Linked DNA regions of Coturnix japonica. The protein of the gene in region 2 purifies or fractionates together with the protein of the main gene of each other region. This does not show direct contact. Links are inferred from orthologs where the notes say so. Each region holds a gene or a part of one and is shown on either strand. Other genes may lie near its edges. The genes, in order: PLK1 and STXBP4.

Region 1 (4,491 bases), on a different chromosome or scaffold from region 2:
CCTTTGGTGTTCTATTCTGCTCCAGAATGATCACATTAGGGGATGAGAATGTAAAGTTACTTTTCTCACCAAATGATGTTAGGCTGCAGTGAACTCTCCAGCCTTAGTGCATGCGGTTTGTTGCTGACGTTCTCTTTACCAGCTCGTGTTCCACGTTATGGCTGGTGAGGGAAAAGAATCATCAAGGAGGCTGGGTACAATCACATCCACCTGGTGATATGGCACCTTGGTGGCAGAGGGGGGAAGAAACTGAAGAATATGCCAACAAAAATGGGTGGATTCTGCACAATAAAGAAGTGTCACATTCTTGGGTCAGTGTGGAAATGTATTTTATAAGCCAAACGTTGTCACGTGGAAGCATCACAACAGGCTGTGTGGAAAAACACATCGAGCATGAATTCCCTGCACATAGTGAAGTGTGGCAGTGTGAAAAGCTGCTCACAGCCCACAGGGAGAGGGAGGAGATGGATAAATCCCATTGCGTGATCCCTGCAGCAGCTTCAGCCCCGCACTGAGCGGGGACACCCACAGCTTCATCAGTGCTCAGAGCCCCATCCAGCCTGACCATGGGTGTCTGCAGGCACCACCACCTTTCCGTGCACCCTGTGCCATTCCTCACCCCCCTCTCTGCAAACAGCTTCTTTACATCCAATTGAAGTTTACATCCCTTTTAAAACCGTTTCCCCTTGTCCTGACGCACAGACCCACCTTTCTTATAGCTCCCCTTCAGCTCGCTCTCCTGTCGCCCCGGAGGGCTGGCAGTGTCCATTAGTTCTCCCGTGTAGGAATCACCCCGCTGCCAGTTCCTGCCCCAGCCGTGCCAATAACCCACTGCGGTGCCGATAACCCACTGCAATGCCAATAACCCACTGCAATGCCAATAACCCACTGGGTGCCAATAACCCACTGCAATGCCAATAACCCACTGCAGTGCCAATAACCCACTGCGGTGCCAATAACCCACTGCAATGCCAATAACCCACTGCGGTGCCAATAACCCACTGCAATGCCAACAACCCACTGCAATGCCAATAACCACTGCAATGCCACAATTAACCCACTGCAATGCCAATAAACCACTGCAATGCCAATAAACCCACTGCGAATGTCAATAACCCAACTGCAGTGCCCAATAACCATGCGGTGCCAATAACCCACTCGGTGCCATATAACCCACTGCAAATGGCCATAACCCAGCTGGGTGCCAATAACCCACTGCAATGCAATAAACCCACTGCAGTGCAATAACCCACTGGTGCCAATAACCCATGCAATTGCCAATAACCCACTGGGTGCCAATCAACCCACTGCAATGCCCATAACCACTGGGTGCCCAATAACCCACTGCAATGCCAATAACCCACTGCAGTGCCAATAACCCACTGGTTGCCATATACCCCACTGCGTTTGCCCATACCCGCCGCGCCGCTCGCTCCTCCCGCCCGCTGGGTGGCGCTGTGCTCCGTCCCCGCCGGTTCCTGTCTCTTTAAGCCGGGCTGTGTCGCTCCGCTCCCATGTTGCTCCGCGGCGGGCGGCGTGGATTTTAAATCCTCCGGACCAATGAGGAGCCGCCGCGGGCGCGTAACGCTCGGGGGCCGCGTTTGAATCGGTCTGAGCGCCGCACATAGAGACACAGCGACACAGCGCGTCCCGCACGGCTCCGCTTCGGGGTTCGGATCCGGTTCGGTTCCGCCTCATTCGGCTTTGACTGCAGTTCTCAGCTCGGACAGCGGCACCATGAACGCGGCGGGCGGCAAAGCCCGACCGGTGGCTGCGGTGGAACCGGCCCGATCGGGTGGAGCGACGGCGGCTGCGGGTAAAGAGGTTCCGAAGGTTCTGCTGGACCCGCGGACCAGGCGCAGTTACGTGCGGGGCCGGTTCCTGGGCAAGGGCGGCTTCGCTCGGTGCTACGAACTGACCGAGAACGAGAGCAGGGAGGTGTTCGCTGGGAAAGTGGTGCCCAAATCGCTGCTGGCCAAACCGCACCAGAAGGAGAAAATGTCGATGGAGATCGCCATCCACCGCAGCCTGGCGCACCAGCACGTCGTGGGCTTCCAGGGGTTCTTCGAGGACAGCGATTTCGTCTACGTGGTGCTGGAGCTGTGCCGCCGCAGGGTGAGGGCGGGGGGTGCGGGTGGGGGCTGAGCGGGATGGGAGCTGGGTGACCAACACCCCGACCAACACCCCATCACCGTGACCAACACCCCCATCCCTATGTGCTCTTATCCCCGAGTGTTCTTATCCCTATGTGCTCTTATCCCCGTGTGTTCTTATCCCTATGTGCTCTTATCCCCGTGTGTTCTTATCCCCGCAGTCACTGCTGGAGCTGCACAAGCGGCGGAAGGCGCTGAGCGAGCCCGAGGTGCGTTATTACCTGCGGCAAACCATCCTGGGCTGCCAGTACCTGCACAGCCAGCGCGTCATCCACCGAGACCTCAAGCTGGGAAACCTCTTCCTTAGCGATGACATGGAGGTGAAGATCGGTAGGTGTCGGGGTGCGGTGCCTGCAGGACCCCCATGGCTGTCCCACCCCACCTGGGTTCTCTCATTGCTCCCATCTCTGTGTCTCCCCAAGGTGACTTTGGCTTGGCCACCAAAGTGGAGTATGATGGTGAGCGCAAGAAGACCCTGTGTGGGACCCCCAACTACATCGCCCCAGAGGTGCTGGGCAAGAAGGGGCACAGCTTTGAAGTGGATGTGTGGTCCATTGGCTGCATCATGTGAGTCAAAGTGTCTCCTGCAGGGCTGTGAGGTCCCTGTGCCCCACATCCTGTTGGCCCCTGTGAGGTTCTGGTGTATCCTGCAGCTATGGATGTGCTGTATCCAGCACACTGCCATGGCTGCTGGCACCTGACCTCCCTGGTGCTCTGGGGGAGGGAGGGGAATAAATCTAACACACTTCCATGTCTACAAACACACAGGTATACTCTGCTGGTGGGGAAACCACCTTTTGAAACCTCTTGTCTCAAAGAAACATACCTCCGAATCAAGAAGAATGAGTATACTATTCCCAAGGTAAAGTACTTCTCATGGGTGGGTCTATTCATCTTGCAGCCGTTCTTGTACCATCCCATTTCTGGCACTCAGTGGGCTCTCACATAATAGTGAAGCAGCTATTATCACAGTGAGATGGGAAGGGGCTGTATCAATCAGTGGCAGAGTGAACCTGTATGGTTCTGTCTCCCAGGCTTATGTCCTGCTTGCCTGACCCAGAGCTGTGCTCTGAGCAGAACCTGTTGTATTATACAGAGCAGATGCCACTAATGTGTGCTTGTCCTTCTGCTTGACTCACAACTCTGCCTGTCTCCTCCTAGCACATCAACCCTGTAGCTGCTAACCTCATTCAGAAGATGCTGAGATCTGACCCTGCCACGCGCCCAACTATCAATGAGTTGCTGAACGATGAGTTCTTCACATCAGGGTACATCCCCAGCCGCCTGCCCACCAGCTGTCTCACTGTTGCACCTCGGTTTTCAATCGCTCCCAGCACACTTGAACTGAATGGGCGAAAGCCACTGACGGCACTCAACAAAGGTAAGAGGAGGCGTCTGGAAGTGAGGGCTGAGGACTGCAGCACTGGATGAGTGCCTGCCTGGCCTCTAGCAACACACAGACCCATCTGTGGGGAATATAGTGCTGCCTCACCTACTCTCCCAGTTCTCATGATAACTAGAACATATCGTGTCTGGGAGTTCTCCTTGTTCTTTGTCCAGAACCAAAGCAGGGAGCAGTTCAGCTATGAGGTGCATAATGTGTTTCTTATAACTAGGGTAGCATGTAAATTGGTGCTTTTAGAAACTTGCTGCTCATGTTTCTGCAATCTTCTCTTTTTTTTCTGGCCCAGGACCAGAAAGCCCTGCATTAGAAAACCTGCCTGAAAAGGAAGATGCAGCTGGGCTGCGGGAGGTGGGAGACAGCATTGAGTGTCACTTAGCAGACATGTTACAGCAGCTGACTGCAGTCAACTCAGCCAAACCCTCTGAGAGAACTGCAGTGAGACAAGGTGAGTCTGGGGACAATCCCACAGGCACTGACATTTTTGGACAACTTGCTTCTGTCATTGATGCCTCTTGGCTGAACTGAGGGACCAACTGACCTCAGCTTCAACCTGAAAGGCAGAAAAGCAATGTGGAAGCTACTTACCTTCCTCTTGGCCTTGCTTGCTGTGCTGCACAGCATGCCTTAAAATGTCTTCTAACAAACTCCTTTTCTCCTTGCAGAAGAAGCTGAAGACCCAGCCTGTATTCCCATCTTTTGGGTTAGCAAATGGGTGGACTACTCGGATAAGTATGGTCTAGGTAAATAACATGATGGCAGTACTTCAGCCTTTTCTAGCTCCTAAAGCAGCTGGTAGAAGTCCTGATCTGTGCTCAGTGTAGATTTAGTTCTTAAATCATGATCAGTGTTTGCATTCAAGAGTATCACCGGGAGCACCATCAAACACTAAGTGAACACAGAGTAATGGCCACTGAATATCTACCCTGGCCACAT
Region 2 (3,813 bases):
TTCCCTCACCATGGGCCCACTGACGGTTCCTTTGCTACTTAAGACTGTGAAAACATCATTTGTCATCTGCAGGGCCCACCTTTTCTTGCTGATGAGTCACAGCGGCAGGGAAGTCCTGCAGAAGCAGCAGTAGGTTTGATCTCTGCAGGTACGGATTCGAACTAATAAGAAATCCCCCAACTTATTTCAAGGAAGGGGAATTGCTTTGAGCCACGTGCGGGGGGGACGCGTTGGCTGCGCTGTGCCTGTGAGCAGCAGTCGGTCTGTCTGCCTGTTTGCACTGCACGCCTCCTGGTGCTGTGCTGACAGCTGGCAGCAGGAGCTGCTGCCCAACAGAGACCCAGCTTTCGGGTCGCCTGTGTTCCCAGGTGCAGATGACAGTCATGTAGAATGCATCAGCCTCGCCTAATGCTGCCTGTGCTTCTAAAAGAAAAATGCATATACTTGATGTCAAACTAAAGGCTATTTAAATGTATCTTTTATCAGTTTTAATGGGAAGGTCTTTATATAAAACCTCTGTCTGGAACTGGGCAGGAAAATTAAGAACAGCACTTATTTGTAGAGCAGTAACAGCAAAGTGTGTAGCAACATCATTGGAAGGACTTCACCTCCTGCAGAAGAGATGGGAACAGTTAACAGCTTTGGATGCATGTCTATAAGGCCTCTCAATCCATTGGATTTGAAGTAATCGTGGAATTAGTGATGTAATTTATTGGGAGTATCGTCTCTCTATAAAAACGTGATGTAAAAATCAGGAATGGATCCACTGACTGGGAACCCTCACAGGTAGCCCTGACACAAGCCACCATGCTTTTAAGCTAAATTTGCACTTAATCACAAAGAGTTTGTTTTTTAGCAGGAGTTGCAACTTTTCAATTGAGTTGTGTCATCTACAGGAAGCCAAGGCAGCTGTAGAGGAGACCAGAGCCCTGCGAAGCAGGATTCATCTTGCAGAAGCTGCACAGAGACAGGCGCGCGGGATGGAGATGGACTATGAAGAAGTGATTCGCCTATTAGAAGCTGAAATAGTGGAGCTGAAGGCTCAGCTCTCTGATCACTGTGGCCAAAATAAAGTAAGCAAAGCAGTCTCCTGTCATAGTTACCATGGTTTCCTTGCTGTTGTCATGTATCTTGTTTTCATTTTCTGTTCATCTGCTTTTCTAAAGTAGGTCACTGTTTGTCTTGTATTATTCAATAACTGGAATGATGTGTAGTGAAGGGGATAATGTGAAGTGCATGAGTCTTCCTTTATCCAGATATCTTTGGGCTGCAAAAACAGGAGCTGGAAGCACATGTGGGCCATAGGTCACCATGACACATCTCAAGCGTTAGAGCAGGGATGGTTTCTGCTCTGTAGCCAGCAGCTGGGAGGATGATGCACACATCTGTGTGCCTTTGTACATACATAAAGTGACCTGAATATTTTTTATACTTCTGTTAGATTAAAAAGGCTATAAAATCCAGTACTGCTCTTAAGTACATGTGGATTTAATCAAGATAGCAATGCAAATGATGTCAACAGAAGTCTGCCAGTGATATTTCCTATAATTTTTTAATTGAGCCTCATATTTTAAAACACTTTGTTTCCAGTGAATTGTTTCAAAGTCTGCTGGGGAATAAAAATATTGGAGGCACTTTTTAATCTTTTACACGTGGTTCAAACAAGTGCAAACAGGTTGAGGTGTGTGTGTGTTTGCCTTCTTTTTCTCGTGCAAAATAGATGTGCACAAGAATTAATGGTGAAAGAGGCTTAATGAAATGCTGCCGTTTCTCACGGTGAGAATTAATGCAATACTGAAAGGTTTTAATAAGATGAAACTGACCCCTGTGGTGTACGAGTTTATGGAGGAGCAACATAGGAAATGTGTGTAACTCCTAGGGAGAAATCCCCCTCATCTGGTGCTGTGTGTGATGGTCGCAGCCTCTCCAAACATCTGGGTGAAATACCTGCCTGCACAGCTTAAGGCGGTGAGAAACGATGTTTCTGAGCTGAGAATTTGCTCTATGAAACAATATCACAGTGCTCTTTGTTACTGTTTCCATGTATGTAAACAGGAGGCATTACATTTGAAAGCTTTTCTCATGGTGTTGTCATGTTGGCAGTTCCAAGGACTCAGGAGAAAACCCTGAGCTAATGAGCGAGACTCGGCAGAGCTGGGCTCACACTGTCTGCAGCTGGAGGAAGGATGCGTAACTCAGATCAATAGCTTATACAAACGCACGTAGAGAAATCCTGGGGGGTAATTTTCTCCATGATGTGCCATAATTACTCTGCTGGCCAAAGGATGTACAGACGCAAACCGGAGGACCACATCTCCTCACACACTGGCTATTTATGGCACCCTGCTGATAGGCGCTGCCAGCGTCACTTCAGCTTTGTTCATCCGGTCATGAATCAGAACAGACCATCCTAAGTTTGAGGCCATCACTGCTATCAGCTGCCAGTCTGAATTTACCTGGATGTGATATCCAGGAGCTCATTTACTAGCAGCTCAGGCACACCTACCTGAGCAGGTATGGGTAGGAAACATAAGGTGTAAAACATTTCAGACGTCCATTTTAATACATGCCTTTTACCTTTGTGAGCCATTGAAGAAACGATGAAAATAAAAGCCTTAAACCAGATTGTACCAAACATCTTTTCCAGGATAACATCCAAGATTTGAGAAAGAGGGTGACTGTTCTGGACTGTCAGCTGCGGAAATCGGAGTCGGCAAGGAAGAGCTTTGAGGTGGCTACTGAAAAACTGCTACAGTTCGTGGAGGTAACTGTGACTCTGCACTGTTCTGTTTGGAAAAGCTGTTTATGTTGATGTTGCTGAGGAGTAAAACTGAATGGAACATGTAGTTTGCAGAAGCCCTTCCCTAGAGGTCATCAGTCCTCCCTCTCCCCACAGCACTGGCATTGCCCACTTGGGTTCTTAGTATCTTCACAAATGGGGACTCCACAGCTTCCATGGCAGCCTGCTCCAACATGCAGCGGCGCATCCTGTCATCGTGTAGGAGAAGATGGTTGCAGTCATGAATTCCAGTCATTATTTTAATATAATTAATAATTATTTTTAATGTGACCAGTCCATTTATCTTTTTGAAGGTTAAAGTGTTTGTTGAACAATTTGTCAATGTGGCCGCATTGCCATGAATTAACGTGTTATGTACATTAACGTGACCCTTCGTAGACTGTTCTGGAAATACTAATGAAATCAATATTTGCAAGAATAAAAGGCAGCTGTGAATAATTCACTAGGTATGAAGTACTGGGAAAATGAGAATAGCCATGAAATTGGCTTTGTAAATATGTTCTCTAGGAACTCATTCCATATCATTTTGTAACTTCTGATGATAGATTTTGTAGCTGTTACTTCTCTTCATCTCACTGGAAGACTGTAGATTCTTTAAAGTACAGATCAGAGCCCATGTGCCAAAGCTATGACCTTCCTGACGGTGCTGATTTATGAGGTGTTAACTTCTCACTGTGGCCAACAGGTTGTGCACGAAATGCTCTCGGAAAACTCTCCTTCCTCAGCTGTTCTAAGGTAAGCAGATCTGAGCTGTTATTCACATGAATGTTGAAAACTTTTGTCCCTAGAAGTTGCCTTGTATGCATTTTTTCCTATAGTTTTCTGTTGTATGTTTCTGAATGCCATTATACTCAATGTGGGGATGGGAATTTAAATATCATGTTTTATTTGAACTTTCCTAAAAGCCTTTGTTGTACAGACAGAACAAATTCTGAGACAAACATATGCAGGATGATATTAATCACTTTTGTTCATAGAACGACACTCAAGCTTTACAGCATTTGAAAGGAACC

What was found.
Region 1: the proteins of STXBP4 (region 2) and PLK1 purify together in Homo sapiens (affinity purification with mass spectrometry; 3 studies listed by BioGRID and IntAct, counting the BioPlex papers as one, with this or other methods). This does not show direct contact. The link is inferred for Coturnix japonica from reciprocal best matches to the Homo sapiens genes STXBP4 and PLK1.

Annotation. Positions count from the first base shown.
Region 1 is NC_029529.1:6,809,484-6,813,974, forward strand, and holds the start of PLK1 (serine/threonine-protein kinase PLK1), read left to right. Parts: upstream 1-1,555; 5' UTR 1,556-1,737; coding exon 1,738-2,115; intron 2,116-2,314; coding exon 2,315-2,483; intron 2,484-2,575; coding exon 2,576-2,720; intron 2,721-2,921; coding exon 2,922-3,015; intron 3,016-3,314; coding exon 3,315-3,534; intron 3,535-3,844; coding exon 3,845-4,003; intron 4,004-4,220; coding exon 4,221-4,298; intron 4,299-4,491. UniProt on the Homo sapiens protein: Serine/threonine-protein kinase that performs several important functions throughout M phase of the cell cycle, including the regulation of centrosome maturation and spindle assembly, the removal of cohesins from chromosome arms, the inactivation of anaphase-promoting complex/cyclosome (APC/C) inhibitors, and the regulation of mitotic exit and cytokinesis.
Region 2 is NC_029533.1:8,101,474-8,105,286, reverse strand, and holds part of STXBP4 (syntaxin-binding protein 4), read left to right. Parts: intron 1-896; coding exon 897-1,073; intron 1,074-2,647; coding exon 2,648-2,764; intron 2,765-3,485; coding exon 3,486-3,535; intron 3,536-3,813. UniProt on the Homo sapiens protein: Plays a role in the translocation of transport vesicles from the cytoplasm to the plasma membrane. Inhibits the translocation of SLC2A4 from intracellular vesicles to the plasma membrane by STX4A binding and preventing the interaction between STX4A and VAMP2.